Linked DNA regions of Pelodiscus sinensis. The protein of the gene in region 3 interacts with the protein of the main gene of each other region in a biochemical or structural test. Links are inferred from orthologs where the notes say so. Each region holds a gene or a part of one and is shown on either strand. Other genes may lie near its edges. The genes, in order: AHR, TBP and ESR1.

Region 1 (5,308 bases), on a different chromosome or scaffold from region 3:
CCTCAGGCCTGCAGATACAGTGTTGCCCACAGCTGCTATCAGAATATAGATAAAAAGGCAGTATAAAATTAAACAAAGAAAGGGAAATAAATAAGTAAAGGTAGACTGAACAAACAAAATAATCTTACATAAGTTATTTGTCAATCCATCTGGATAGTAAATAATACATATAACTGTTTTTTAAACACGTTATAAGCCAATACAAAATTATGACTAGATTAAAAACAAAAATATTTAATATTTAAAAAGGTTTATTTTCCCTTTTAGTCCTAAAAAAAGGGAGCTCTTTTATGACAAAGACACCTCAAGACTAATTTTTTTAATTTAATTTCCACTCATATGTTGATTTACATAACAAAGAGTCTTCAGATTCAAATATGGTAAGTGTTGCAAATTAGAATAAAGAATATAAAATACTAAGCAACTTTAGGATCAGACATTTTTATATGAAGGTATAAAAATACTGTAGAAACAGTTTTCAGATCTGATTAGAATTTATTAGCAAACAAAGCATTAAGACCTCTGGTCAAAAAGAGCGAATAGCTATACAACAGATCCTTAAATCAAGATTTGTGTGTGCTTTAAAGGATTAGTCAAGAAAGTATGTAAACAGAGCTGGAAAGTTATTTGCAGTAGGGCAGGTGCTACTGCGCTTGCGCATAACTGTAGGAAAAGTAAGTATTTCCTATATACTTCTATATCTTGAAACAGGGTAAGTATTTCCTATATACTTGTATATCTTGAAATAGGGCAACTATTTCTCTCTAAATTATAGATTTATATTGCTTAACAGTTCTATAACTTCTATATTTTAGCTTGGAAGTGACTAGCCGCATTTACATTAAGTAATTTACTGACACTTCTGCAGAGTTTTGGTAGAAATCATCATATACATTGCTTTTCACTGATTAATTCACTCCACAAACATAACAGAATTTCACTTAAAGCAAAATATCCATGTATAGAAATATTTCAATAGCAGCTGCTGTGGTTGAATATGCATTCAACTGATCCAAAACAGGGAGCTGAATGATATAAAGGAATTTGCTTACTCAAGTATGTTAGAAGTAGTTGTCTTTTCCCCCTCATCAGCTCAGTAGATTACTTCATAAATTTGTGGTTAATTTATGCATCTTTATGTAGTAGATAAATGTGAAAGTTAACAATTTCCTTTAAAATTAATTTCAGATTAAAGGAATCTGCTAGTGAATCAGGTACAGCCTTGGGCCCAATCCTGTCTATACTTGTGTAATAAAACTAGCTTTACTCAGGCAACCAAATAATAATTTTATTTTTTTTAAGATGCGGCAATAGTTTCTGATTTTTATGTTTGCTTGGCATTAAATGAATATAAATTATAATGGCAAAATAAAAAAACTTTAGGAAAAAACTATTTAAATATTCCCAAAACAGGATGACATGATTACACATGATCTATTGTCATGTCCCAAGCACCTTGTCAGAGACATCCACTTTCAGAAACCATCACTCTAGATATATTACATTTTAGGGGGTGGCAGGTAGTGGATCTAAAGTATAAGACTTCATACAGAGTGTAAGTGATTAGTTAAAAGTCACAGTACCAGACAAAATACAGGACTATGTAACACTTTAAAGACTAACAAGATGGTTTATTAGATGATGAGCTTTCGTGGGCCAGACCCACTTTCTCAGATCACCAGAAAGGACACCAGAAAGTACCAGACAAATACACTGCAGCAGTGACTTGTAACCTACACACATATCCAAGTGGGGACGAGAAGGGGCAGCCGTGCACCCAACACAACTACACATACACTCGCCGCAGCGCAGCTAAGCAAAACAAGAAATTGCTCCATCACTGTGACCAACAGGACTTTTTTTTTAAAACTGCATGTGTCGTTTAATTACGTTTTCACAACTAGTTGAACTGGTGGGAGCTCGGGTAGCCATCGCTAGGGACAGCCACCTTAAATGCTTCCTAGTCTAGGTCAGGTAACCCAGCCACATTGAACCTAAAGTCATTTCTTCTTCCTTCCTTCCTCCCCTCCCCCGCACCCAAGTCCTCATTCTCCCTTTTAATCACCATCCTTACACAACTGGGTCATCGGTGCCTGTTCACAACAGGACTCTGAACGTAACTAGCTACAGACTTCCCTGTTGGGGGAGGAGGCTGAAAAGGGGACCTCCCGGAGCCCCACGACTAGTCACGCCTACGCCCAGCGTTGTGGCAAGGGGGCCCCAAAGCCGCCGAGAGGGGAAAAAAGCCCCGCAAAAGCGCACCAGGCACTGCAGCAAACGGCCCCCGGGTAACCCCTGCCTGCGGTGCTGCAATCCCCCAGCTCCCGAGGCCCAAGCGCAGCGGGCTGCAGACTCCCACACGGCGCTGGGGGAGCGGGGAGCCGCTGCGGGGGGCGCAGCCAGGGGCCGGTTTGGGTGAGCCACTGACAGCCCCGCTAGGGCCAGGAGCTTCCCCCCGCCGCCCCTGCTCCGCCCAAGCTCGTCTCTTACATTTTCTGCACCGGCTTCCGCCGCTTGCGACTGGCGTAGGTGACATTGGGGTTCATCCTGCCGCCGCGGCTCCCCGCACCGCAGCCGCGAGTCCCCGGCGAACCCGCTCGGCGCCGCAGCCCGCAGCCGCCCGGCCCTGCCCTGCCCGTCTGCAGCGCGCCGAGCGCGGCTCCGCTCGGCCGAAGGAAGGCGGGAGCCCAGGTGATCAGCGCCGGCGACACCCACCAACCCGCTGCGGCCCCGGGGACAGGTGCGGGGGCGGCCGGGGCTTTCCAGATCCCCCTGCCCGGCAGCGGCGGCTTCTCCTGGCGGGGCAGATGGAGGCCGAGCCAGCAGCGCGCCCCGAGGCTGCCGCTGCAGGGTGCGACGATGCTTCTGCCCCGGTGCGGCCGCCGCGGGCCAGGCAAACGTCTGCCACAGTCCGCCGCCCCCGGCCGCTGCCGCCGCGGTCGCAGAGCCAGCCACCCAGCAGCCCGGCCCCTGCTCTCCACGCCCCGCGGGGGGAGGCTCCGGCGGCGGCCTACGTGAGGGAGCCGCCTGCGCCGCCATGTTGGGAAGGTCAGGCCCGCGGACATGCCCCGAGAGCCGCCTCCCGCTAGGAACAGCCCGCCCCGCACGCAGCTGGACGCCGCCTCGCTAGCGCCGCCAGCAAGGACAATGACCCGGCCCCGGACCTTCCGACAGGCCCCGGCGCTGCTCGCGTCCGGGCACCGCCCGTAGCTCCACAGCAGCGTGAGCAGCCGCCGCAGGGAGGCAGGAGCGGGGTGCTGGTGGGGCCTGGGCCTGCTCTGAGTCCTGCGGTGCGGGGGAAGGAGGGTGGCTCGTGCTCTCCCCTCAGCCCATGATTTCCCCTGTTTCGTTCGGGGTGTCAGAGGCGCAATCAGCCGTTGTGGCTTTACATTTTTAAAGGAAAAACAAAATTATTGCAAGCGATACGGGCTGCTAAAGCGCTCCTCCGTCTTGCTGTTCAGGCACAATTGTGCCCTTTCGTTAAGGGCTGTGAAACAATGAAATCCTGTCATGGTTAAGTGTGAGATTTAAAAGAAATAATTATTGGCGGTTTGTCATACTGTTACATGATCCATGTATTCTACTGGTGTTTATTTATGTTTACATTTGCAGAGATTTCAATTGCATAATGTACAGTGCTCATTCTATATTTTTATTTGCACTGTAAAAAGATAATTGTATTTTTCAGTTCATCTCATACAAGTACTGTAGTGCAGTGTCTTTATTGCAAAAATAATTCCACTATTCCATTAATTCCACTAAATTGCACTATTGTTTTACATAACTGCACTCTAAAATAAAATATTAACATGTCATCTGATAGGGTGGCTGAAGTATGAAGAGGCATATAAATATTTAGCAAGTCTGGCATGTAAATTTACCTTGCAACATTGCCTTCAAAGAATCTCTGTTCTCACTTTCAGGTGGCATTGTAAATAAGCAGGCAGCATTATCCCCCATAAATGTGAAACTTTGTCTTAGCCAATTGCTAACAAGAAGTTAGGACTGACTGAGTGGACTTGTACGTTTTTTAAGATTGACCTTGTTTTGTTTTTGAGTGTAGTTATGTAACTAGAAAATTCTACATTTGCAAACCACTTTCATGATGAAGGAACTGCACTATAGTAGTTGTATGAAGTGAATTGAAAAATACTATTTCTTTATCTTTTTACAGGGCAAATATCTTAAATACAAAATAATATAAAGTGAGCACTATTCACTTTGTATTGTGTTGTAATTGAAATGAATGTTTGAAAGTATAGAAAGGCATCAGATATTTATAATATATTCCAGCTGGTATTCTTGTTTAACAATGTGATGAAAATGGTGACTAATTGCTATATTTTTTTTAAAATCAAGTTATTTCTCTTGACTTAATCACAATAAACTCAAGCAATTAACAGTTCTAACTGCCTATTTTTTCTTCTCCCTTCTACATATTCATTTGAAGAGAAGGCCAATTGATAGGCAAGGATGACAAATAGGGGTAGCTCAGTGTGCAGCAATGCATAGGATTGACTAAAGTAATTGATTAAAGTAATTCAGATCAGCAAGGTTCTTTTCCCCCAAGTAATAATACAGTTTGTCAAAACTCAGCCAGTGGCAGCAGTCTCTAACTAAAAAGCAAATTATATACAAGTCTGTGCTAAAATAAAAACCCTGCTTACTTGCAGTGAAAGAAAAGGACCCAATCTTGCTCCCATTGAAATCACCTGCACAGTTCTCATTGGTTTCCAGGGAAGCATGGGCCTCCAAAAGAGAAATGAATTAAAGAGAAACATATTTTTCTTGCTTTTAGGTTTCCCCAGCACTGTTCATTTTAGAGTTCTCTACTTCAGCCACAAGGAGTGAGAAACTGAGGCAGTGTCTTTGGTGTTGCTTACAGGAGCTTGCCAGAGTGTAAGGATTAAAACAATTGGTAACCCCATCTGCATATTTGTTCTGGGGTTATTAAAACCAACACAGGATTCTGCAAATCTTTCTGTTTGGGTTTGCTGATAGATATAATTAACGATAGTGCATATATTAATATGCTAAGAGTAATTATGCTGTGTAATTGCTAAGAGAATAGTTTAGTGTTTATGCAAATCAGACAGCAAGAATCAACAAACACATGGAACTCTATAACTGCAAAGCTGTACAGTTAAGCTTCAGTAATTCTAAAGCTTCCCTGCAGCTGATTGTCATTACAATATTTGTTCAGTATTGATAGTATGCTCAATTCAGTACAAAACAGAAGGTGATAATAGTCCTTGTACTGAGGAAATTGCAATCTGAATAGCACAAAACATTCTGGTCAATTATCAGT
Region 2 (5,308 bases), about 14 Mb from region 3:
TGAAACTGACCAGCGCTGACTACAGGAAGCCCGAGGCAGAGTTGCTCTGCCCCAGGCTTCCTGGAATCAGCACTGATCAGTTTCAGCGGCAGCTGACTTGGGGACACTTGGGGTTCTTAAGTTGAATCTGTATGTAAGTCAGAACTGGTGGTCAGTTTCAGCAGCGGCTGGATCTGGACGCCAGTTCCGACTTACATACAGATTCAACTTAAGAACAAACCTACGGTCCCTATCTTGTACGTAACCCGGGGACTGCCTGTACTCGGGTACATGTTCACCTCCCTAGTGGTAACATGTAGAGATGTAACGTAATGGTTAATTGATTAGTCCATAGGGGCGCTTGTACATTTCAAAGGAGGAATGCAGAACGCTGCGTGCAGCCTGGGGCCAGCGGGAAGTCCCGCTGACTGGGCTGCACGCAGGTGCCAGGTTTGAAATGTTCAAGAGTCCTCGGGGGTGGGGGGGGGGGGGGGGGAGAGGAGGGAGCTCTTGGGCATTTCAAAGTGGTAGGGCAGCATAGAGCCTGGGATCAATGGGGAACTCAGAACCCCTGCTGATCCCAGGCTTTATGCTACCCTGCCACTTTGAAATGCCATGCGGAGCTGGGATCTCCCCAGCTGACCATGGGTTCAGTGCAGCATGACCCAGGGTTCCGGGGGAAGCTGGGTACTACCCAGCTGATCCTGGGTTCTGGGGAAATGCAGTGCTGTAGTCCCCAGTTGACTCCAGGCTCCACACGCAGCAGCGCAGCACAGCTGAGCTGAGGATCTGCTGTGTAGCTGTCCCTTTGCAGCAGTCAAAGGGGCAGCCCCAAGCAGCAGGGCTGCACAGCTAATCCCGGGTTCAGCTGTGCGGTGTAGCTGCTTTGAAGTACCGTCCACTCTCACCCCCTTTGTTGCCTCTATCTGATAGAGGAAGAAAGTGTGGGGGGGAATCATTTAGTCGTTTTCTTATTGGATAGTCGACTAGTCTTTAACATACCTAGTAACAACACTGAAGCTAAGAATAGGTGATCTTTTATGTGATCACAAAATATATTACCACTACACTTATTCATAAAGCTACCATCCATAAAGTATCCAACACTATGTGTTTTGGCAGGGAGAATTATCCAAGTGAAAAGGACCAAATACAACACTACCCTCCCCCCAACAGATAAACATGCCTCCCATAGCACTGCAACTTTAAAATGACAGAACATTTTCAGAAGTGTAGTCTAAATACCAAGGATTCCTGGGTCTGCATAAGTAGAAAGACTAGATAAAAATCTTGCCACACAGTGTAAGTATGGTCTGTTTTGATTTTAGCTACTTTTGTGCAAGGAACAAATTCCACAAGCAAGGGATTTCTGAGGACATCCTGGCTTCAGCATCACTAAGCTTCCCCCAATACTACTATGCATGATTACTAATAATGTATATGAAACTATAACAAGAGGAGCAATTTAAACATGAATGGAACATATGTATTTGTTGAGAGCCTGAACCAATACAGTACTTCTATAGAAAGAATATCCCACTAACTTCAATGGGAGGTTTGGCTATGTAATAAACTTAGTAATTGCATAGCACTTTTAATTTTCAAAGCACTTAACACTAACCTTTATAACAACCACCTAACAACAAACATACTTATGTTACCCCAAACTTGCAAAACCGTAACAAGACTCAATTTGTCTGCCTTTTCAATATGAGGACGATCATATAAACACCCCAGGATATATTATTTAGCTAACAAATCACTCATTTCTTCAAGCTATGCTATTTGGTGACCCTAATTTTCCAACACTGCACTGCTCCCATTTTGCAGATGGGGGAGGAGACAAGGCAGTTTAGTGACTTGCCCAACATCACACCAAGAGAGTCAGCGTCACGGTGCAAATCAGACCGGCGGTGGCCGGAACACTACGGTGATCAGCTTCCCCAGCTACCCTGAGCCCTTCAAGGCCCCCCAGCCTCTCTCCAACTCCGCTACGCAAACCGAAAGGCTCAAGAAGGCCTGAGCCCCAGAGAAACGCAGAGAAAGCGCTGCCGCTTCTCTTTGCCGTAGAAGGGGTTTATACGGGGCAGCGCTTCTCCGACAAGCCCCAGACACGTCGCGCTCCGCTCGGGGAACGCGCTTGTGCCGGGGGCCATGAGAGCTCGGCTCCGCGCGGCGCGGCCGGGCAGGCTCCCGGGGCAGCGGGAAGGGGCCGAGCCTGGTCCCGGGCCGCTCCGCACTAGGCGAGGCCGTTGGAGGAGACGCGGCCGCGGGGCAGGGCGGGAGCCGGGTGCGCTGCCCGCGCGGGGCCCGCAGGCGGGAGCAGCCGGGCGAAGGGGCAGGCCCGGGACGGCGAGCGCCAGGCGGCGGCTGCCGGAGCCTGCCCGGGACGGGGAGGGAGACGCGCCCGCAGCCCCGGGAGCGGCGCCAGGACCCCGCTCGCTGGAGCCGCCCCCGGGCCGGGCCCCGCCGCTGCCTCGCGGCCCGGAGGCTCCGCCCGGTTGAGCGGCTCGGTACCTGCCGCTCCAGTTCCCTCCAGGCGCCGCACAGACCCGGCGGTGGCGGCGACCCCACCTGCAGCCCGGCCTCTCCTCCTCCGGCGCGCGCATAACGCGTCACTTCCGCCAGGAACTCCCGCTCTCCCTTTTCCGCAGTGGCCATTTTGAGTGAGGGCAAAGCCAAGAAGCGTGGGGCGGGACGGAGAAGCCAAGCCCAAGGAAAGCGCCGATCAGTGTGTCACGGGCGCGGGCGCCACTGGGGTTGTAGATTGAACCCAGTGCCCACAAATAAAACTCAACAACGCGAAAACCATCCGCTGCAGATTCCCACAGCCCCGGGATGCAGCGCAGCCCGCAGCGATTGCAATCCCTGCCCCCACCCCATGCCTGCTTTTCGTCACCAACTTCCACTGCCCTAGAGAGCCAGGCCTGGACAGAGTTGCCACCTCTGAGGAACAAAATAGGGGGCAATGCGGGATGATCTGTAGCCTGTGAAACCGGACAGCTGCCTAGCAGTGTGTCCTGAGCACCCAGCCTACAGATTGCTTGGGGCAGCCACGATCCAGTGAAAAGCTGGACAGAGGGGAGCCAAAGTAATGAGGGGAAGTCACACAATCTCGATTTATGCAGATTTAGTTTCTGGGCGGTTCAAAAGGCAGCCTCCGTGCTATTGTACCTGCTTTAAAGGAGGAGAAAATGATAAAACTCTGTCCTCGATGCCACACGCTGCTCCGCACTAGCCCTCCAGCAAGGCAGCCTGCAGGATGGCGGCCTCTGCTTTTATGCTTCTTTTAAAAATGATCTGCACTGCAAGCAGGCTCCAGTTGCTGCATGTGCTGACCAGTTTTCCAGGACTAGTGCCTTTCTGTAGCAACTCAACACTCCAGATTACTTTTGTTTTCAGTTTAAAAATCATGTAAATGCAGGTTTCATCGGGAGTGTAAATTAATCCAGTTGATGCTGCTTTGGGTGGCTGTTTCTTTCTCTAATCCGACAACTGGCCATGATTTCGTGTAACTGTCTTGAAAGCCTTGGTCGCACGATCCCTTCCAGCTCCCTGCTAAACCCCCTGCTTCCTCTTGGCTTTTACTCCCACACAAACGTTCACTCCTCCCGCCTGCGGGGGGCGCATCCGGCGCCGGGCCAAGCCGAGCGCGGGGCAGACGAGATCGGGCCAAGGTGAGGCTAGAGCGGACGCTGCTGGCGAAGGGAGAAGTTCCGGTTCCGGCGCCGCCATTTTGCCGTGAGACAGCAGCCGCCCGCCGGCTCCCAAGCGCGCGCGCCAGGATGTTGTCCACAGCCGGCTACGCGGAGCCTCGGCCCGGGATGGGGCAGCAGCTCGGCGGCCCCGCGCAGCACCGGTTCTCCCCCTACACCTTCAACGGCGGGTAACGAGCCGGGCCCGCCCCGGGGCCCTCAGCCCCGCCGCTTTCGCTTTCTCTTCCCCCGCCCCCGGACCCCGCAGGGGAGCGCACAGACACCCCGGGGCTTCCCCGCCCCCTGCGCTTCCGGAGCGGCTTTGCCTCGGGAGGCGGGATGAAAGGACCCTCCTGTAACGGGGGCTCGGGGCAGCGCGTCGCTTTGCGTTCGGCCCAAGCGGCCGCGCCCCTGCCCCAAGCTCTGGGCCCCGCACGACGCCAGCCTGGGACGCCCCCGCAGCGCCTGTTGCGTGTCCGTGGAAAGGCTGCTGTTAAGAAAAGCAGCTTTGGAAACCGCTTTTCTAACGGCGCCCTGCAGAGCAAAGGGATGTTAGACGTGGGGGAGCAGTTGTGTAACCACATGAAATCTTTGCTGCAGCCCCACTCCCCAGGAAGCCCCCTGCCACCTCATGATGCTGCTGCCTCTGTCTCAGAGGCAGCAGTGCTGGGTGGCAGGTGGGAGCCAGTTAAAAAAACAGCTCCGGGAGCTGCCTGCCACTGTGACTGATCGACAGAGGCAGCAGTGTGGGGTAGAAGCAGCCCCTGTCTGTTGGGGTCCAAGTTCCCTGCAAACAGGCTGTTGTGGGGATGGGGAGAGCTGCTATGAAGCAGCCTCTGTCCTTGGCAGCTGAGACAACACGGTAAGAGGAAGGTGGCACTGCAGAGCCAGTGCTAAAGGGGCCTACCTTCAAATCAGGTCCCCTCCTGTGGCAGCTAGTGCTTCCCCCCCCCCCCCACTCCTGCTGCCTCAGAATATTCAAAGCTTGTCCACCACCACAGACTAGGGATGTTAAAATGAGGGTAATTGGGTAACAGTGTAACCACTGAAAATCTCAGCAGTTACATGCAACTACAGTATGATACAACAGCCAAAAGCTGGCTTTCTAAGACGGTTCCCAGCATGTGCCAGTTCCCACCTGCAGCCCAGCTTTTGGTGAGCTGGCTGCCACCCCTGTGCTTCTGCCTCTGATGGAGAGTGGCAGCTGCCTCCCAAAGAGCGGGCAGAAACCTGTGTGTAACGGAACAGTAACAGATTAGCCCAGAGTCACTGGTTAACTGTTAACCGTTTACATGATTATGCCTTTACATCCCTAATATATAGACATGAAGCTGCTAGGGTGAAGATGTTTTTTTTAGGTCTAGAAATCTTGATTATATAATGATTATAAATTAGTCCTCATTTTCTTTAAGCACTGTGCTGGCGATTGCTGGAGAAGATTTTTCTATTGTTGCCTCAGACACACGACTGAGTGAAGGTTACGCAATTCACAGCAGGGACAGTCCAAAATGCTATAAACTGTAAGTTTTAATCTTATTGTATGGCATCCTTGGAAGATTGAATGACTAGCATTTTCATTTGTTGCCCTAGAAAAACATTCCAGTAAGATAGGAAGTGCATTTGTAAGGGTTTGT
Region 3 (5,308 bases):
GCATGTTCCTTGCTGCAATAAGCGATTATATTCAAATACGGTACCATGGCAGCATGCATGAAGTGTGTGTGTAGGTTGATTGTCTTGCCCCACTTTTTCTGCTCACCCTCTGCCTATAAAGGACCAATCTCAACCACAATCCTTTCTCCCCCTGTATATCTTTATATTCTCTCTGGTCCCCCGTCTCTTTCCTCTCCCCACCATCTTGACTGTCTTCTGAGAATGGTGCATGTTACTGTTCAGAGACAGCTGGACACCTATTCCTTTCTATGAGCTGCCTCTGTTCGCAGCCCTGGGTGGCACAGCAGGGCTGAGGGACTCAGTAGCAATGGGAAGGGATAGGCAAGAGAAACTGGTTGCCTCAGCAGAAGCCCAGAAGTACTCTCTAGTAGCCAGGAGGAGGAGCTGAAGGAACACTTTGCTCATTATCTGCTGCACTGCTTATGAGTGACATCTCGGCTGGCTGGAGTGAGACAGTATCAGCATAGATACCTGTGATGTTCATTCCACATGAGTGGCATTTTTCAAGTTTAAGTGAGGTGAAACCAAGAACAGAGGACAGAACATGAGGGAAAGGAAAATATTTTAGAGTTCATGCACACGTCACCTGATCCTACTCCCACTGAATTTATGGTATGGTCTAATCTCACAGCTGCAATTTTTTTTTTTTGTCTGTTTGTTTTCTAATGAAATTTTAAGTAACAGTGGAGGAGAATGGATAAGTAGCAAAGAAATTAAAATAGCAGAAAACAAGGAAGCAAGACATAAATGATAACAGATCCTCCAATTACTTACCTTTTATTTGTGATTTGTATACTGCATTATATTGCTGTTTCATGGGGAAATTGCCATATTTCTTTTAATTTGGGGGCAGGCAAGAAAGTGCTGAGATTCCACTGGGCTGAATAAGTAGAGCCATAATATTGTATAGCTGCTAATGGGACTTGTCTCGCTATTCTGGGCATGTTAATGTTAGGCCCCTGCTATGGTAAGAGCTGACACCTCCTAGAACAGGGCTACTCAACTTTGGAAGCCCCGGGGGCCACATGCTGAGGGCCACAACTTAAGTGTGGCTGTATATACATGCAAATATATATGCAAATATATGCAAATAGCTCCTTTCACACTGATGAGCATGAATACAAAGATTAAGGTAATACTACACAATGCACAGGCCCCATTTGAGTCAGTTCTGCTGATATTAATAAAATGCAATATTTACCTGATTTCCACCCATATGACAGCACTTTTAATGAGCAATGACAGTCCAGGAATTTAACTGCTAAAACACATATCAACAGAAGACCATTATATTGACTACTTTTTTGTTTTGGCTCCCATCCATTGGCCACGTATTGAGCCCCACGTAAACCCAAACTGTGCCAGACAGCACAAACAAATGGGCTTCAGGCCGCATGTGGCCTGCAGGCTGCGTGTTGAGTAGCCCTGTCCTACAAAATGCAGATCATCCTCAGTTCCTATGGAAGTCAGTGGGAGTTAAGGGCACTGAACACCAGGGAGGAATTGCTCAGGATCTTGAAGGAACAGTTTGATTTGGTTAAATACAATTAGAAATATATTTTAAAATTTTATGAACAGACATAGTTGCTTAAATGGCAAAAACTGAATACATTCCCCTTCCCAGCCTGTTCAACTTTGACACAAAGGTGTTACAATAAATTACAATTGTTCCTGACTTCGCACTCAAAATATTAGTAACTTTGCTTCCTGATGTTCACTCAAATAGTCTGTTTTGATTTTGTTTTCATTTCTGAATATCATGCACTAGCACGTGGCTGTTGTATTTGGGTTCTCAACACCACAGAGTGGAATATTTAAATAGAACAGATATCTGAATACATTGCTATCTTTCATCACATATATTGAAATGAAGGGCTGGATTAAAAAGGCAATGTTCCTCACCTATTTTTTTCCTTATTCTAAAACCTTCCATTTGTGTATGATGTCTGCTTTGTAGCTTTTGACAAGAACTCTAGTTGATCCCTTTTTCTTTACTATCTTGATGTTTCCATTTAGATTTATAAAATTTTGGGTTTATTGTTTTGGATCTTAATAAAACACCATATAAAACAACCTCTTTTCATTTAAATTTAAACAATGAGAAAATTCTATTCATATTAAGTCTGAGAATTTTCATCTTAAAAAAGAAAAAAAAATCCAAAAATTATGAGACAAACAGCCAGTTAAACAGAACTAAAATGTACAGAGACACGTTTTCTGCAGTACAGTATAGAAAAAATACTAAGAGATATGTTCATGCTTCTTATCTCTTTTCTTCTGTGAAACTGGTTCATTACATTTACTTGAGAGATGCCTTATGATTAAGTATATATCACAGCTATGCAAAAATAAATACATAAATAAAGTAACAGAAGCTCTCATGGAGGCCTTTTACCTAAAAGGGCTGCAACATGGGATGGGGCCTGATATAAAGCCCACTGAAGTCAATAAAAAGATGCCAGTTAACTTCAGTGGGTGTTGGATCAGGCTCTCACTACCAAGTTTACCTTCAAATTCTATGCAAAACCTGAAACTAATTTTCAAAATGAAAATAGTCCTTCAAAGATTATCTGTAAACTTCAAAAAGTGTGTTGAAATAATAAAGTAGTCACAGCAAAATGCTATATACATATGTGCCATGCGGGAAAACAAATATGTATCATCTCAGAAAAAAAAGTTCACAATGTGAAAAGAAGGCTCAAAATAATTAAGAGATAGTCTTTGCTTATTAAGCTGTTAATTTTGTGCCAGAAATCCTATTAAAGGAAAAGCTGGTACTCAGATAAAGACCCTCTGTTTGAGAACGGGTTAAAGAATGTACCCATAATTGAAAAGAAAGAGAAAAATATTGTTATATTTACTATTTAAATATCATATCCTGTAAATAGATTTCAGCATCTATTAGGATCAAAATGTAATATTTACATTCATTAAAGGGTACAATGTAGCCTTTGTGATTCATGAAAGTAATAAATTCATCACCCACGAAAGATGCTGTATTCCTTCTCTTTATAGATATCTACAGTATTGTGTCTTTGAAATGAATTTATTGAACCTTTTAATTATTCAGTTTAATGCAACTGGTTGAGACAGGCTCAAGAGAGCTAATAATTTCATTTATAACTGTTCTCCTAGCTGATCAGTTTTGGCTGAAAGACTCATGTGACTATGTCTGGAGCTTGAGCACAGGGTAATTTTTAGGCTATGGCAGATTTAATGCTAAATAATACTGAATAAGAGATTTTCACTGTACACTTATTCCATACTTAATGACAACATTTGGAATGCATTCCCTTGTTTTTTGCTGCTTTTTGCTGGACACGGAAAACAAAGAGACAGTAAATAAAATTGACGTTAGAAAAAGAGTTACAATAATACTTGTAAGCATTCCCATGGGCACCATGAGGTGTGCGCAGCAATGTTTTGAGTAAAAACAACATGTAAAAGTGAGCATGAGGGAAAGAAACTGAAAAAACTGAGAGCTATTTTCACTTACATTTATCCAAGAAGGCTGTTGGCATTACTTCTGGAGTGCTGTAATTGGCTGAGAAGGTCACATGACCCCCCTGAACTAAAATAGAAACTCTTCGGTAGAGGGAAACTGAAGCAGCAACAGGTCTGAGACAAAATACATGTTAAATTATATAGCACACATATTTCAGACTGGAGTGTTTAATTTCTAGGGAAAGTACAGTAAACTTCCGATAATCCGTCCGACCCAGGGGGTGCCAGATTATCAGCTATGCCGGACTATCGGAAGGGGGGGCTATGAGGGGTTTAGGGTGGGGTGGGGGGGATGCCACCCCAGACCCCTCATAGCCCCCCCTTCTAATAGTCCGGCTCTGCCCCAGGCGTCCCCAATTCAGCCGCTGCTGGTCAGTTTCAGCAGCAGCTGAATTGGGACACCTGCAGCAGAGCAGCTAGGGTGCTGCCGGGTTGGTCCGGTAGCACTGCCCCTTGGCGCTGCAAGATCAACCCGGCAGCACCTCAGTTGCTCTTGGGGTCATCTGGGGCTGAGCAGCTGGGGTGCTGCCAGGTTGGTTCCACAGCACCAAGGGGTGGCGCTACTGGACCAACCCAGCAACACCCCAGATGCTCTGCCCTAGGCGTCCCCAAGTCAGCCGTCGCTGAAACTAACAAGCGACTGACTCCGGGAAGCCCGAGGCAGAGCTGCTCTGCCCCTGGCTTCCTGGAGTCAGCCGCTGGTCAGTTTCAGCAGCAGCTGAATCGGGGATAGCTGGCGTGCTGCTGGGTTGGTCCCGCAGCGCTGAGGGGCAGCACTACAGGACCTACTGGCAGCACTCCAGCTGCTCTGCCCCCGGCTTCCCTGATTCAGCCGCTGGTCAGCTTCAGTAGCGGCTGAATCAGGGAAGCCAGGGGCAGAGCAGCTCCAATGGTCCGGCTGCCTGGAGCACTTCCGGGTTCCTGATGGTGCCGGACCATCAGGAGTGCCAGACCATCAGATGCCGGACCAATGGAGTTTTACTGTATTGTCCATTGGTTTGAAAAGGTGATCTCCAGTAGGCCAGATTACCCTTAGACTATGACTTTGATATTCCCAATATCACTCTTCTTTTCAACCCATGGGGGAAACAGTTTTCTACTATAAATTTCAGCTCACATCAGTGTATAATTGCAACTAGTGATCGCATTAACAATTTTTAAAAAATTACCAAGATCTTTTTAAAAATAGGATCTGGTTAATTTAAGCACCAAAAAAGCTTCTACTATTCTAGCTGTTTTCATTCTCTGTCTAAGGTTTTATTAACTCAGTCATATTTCTGGTATCGAAAAAGGAAGTCATAAGAAAAATAAGTATTTTCTTGAGGTAATTGACTGCACTATACAACATATGCAGCAGAGCAGTCCAGTTTTCACATTCTTTCATAAGTAAAACTTATGGTTACAAAACTACAAATTACTAAAACATGTGCCATAAATCTGCAAGTTATAAATAAAGATAAAGTGCAAAAGATCCCAAACTAACAAACTGTACTGATTCCTAACAGCTAAATGCAGATTACTTATTTTGATAAAACACTGTCTGATTTCAAGGTTAATGCTTAATTGCAACATTCAAAAAAGCAGCTTTTCCAGACACTTCATTTGAAAAGATTTAGGCAGATAATGCAATGACACAGTAGTATGAATTACTACAAATCACCTAGGTAACTTTCACATCAGGAAACTTCTTTACAATTTACTCAGGTTTCTTGCTGAGTTTTTTAGACTGATGCAGCTTCAACTTGATAAATTTCCAAGTGTCTTTTTTGTTTTATATTTCAGC

The links.
Region 1: the proteins of ESR1 (region 3) and AHR form a complex in vitro, tested with the Homo sapiens proteins (4 studies listed by BioGRID, with this or other methods). The link is inferred for Pelodiscus sinensis from reciprocal best matches to the Homo sapiens genes ESR1 and AHR.
Region 2: the proteins of ESR1 (region 3) and TBP form a complex in vitro, tested with the Homo sapiens proteins (2 studies listed by BioGRID). The link is inferred for Pelodiscus sinensis from reciprocal best matches to the Homo sapiens genes ESR1 and TBP.

Annotation. Positions count from the first base shown.
Region 1 is NC_134712.1:202,993,754-202,999,061, forward strand, and holds the start of AHR (aryl hydrocarbon receptor), read right to left. Parts: upstream 2,957-5,308; 5' UTR 2,547-2,956; coding exon 2,491-2,546; intron 1-2,490. UniProt on the Homo sapiens protein: Ligand-activated transcription factor that enables cells to adapt to changing conditions by sensing compounds from the environment, diet, microbiome and cellular metabolism, and which plays important roles in development, immunity and cancer.
Region 2 is NC_134713.1:122,268,701-122,274,008, reverse strand, and holds the start of TBP (TATA-box-binding protein), read right to left. Parts: upstream 3,577-5,308; 5' UTR 3,154-3,576; intron 2,649-3,153; exon of another isoform or gene 2,497-2,648; intron 1-2,496. Other genes in the region: PSMB1 (proteasome subunit beta type-1), read left to right, coding at 3,765-3,865, 5,087-5,194. UniProt on the Homo sapiens protein: The TFIID basal transcription factor complex plays a major role in the initiation of RNA polymerase II (Pol II)-dependent transcription.
Region 3 is NC_134713.1:107,791,435-107,796,742, reverse strand, and holds the start of ESR1 (estrogen receptor), read right to left. Parts: upstream 3,616-5,308; 5' UTR 3,543-3,615; coding exon 3,518-3,542; intron 1-3,517.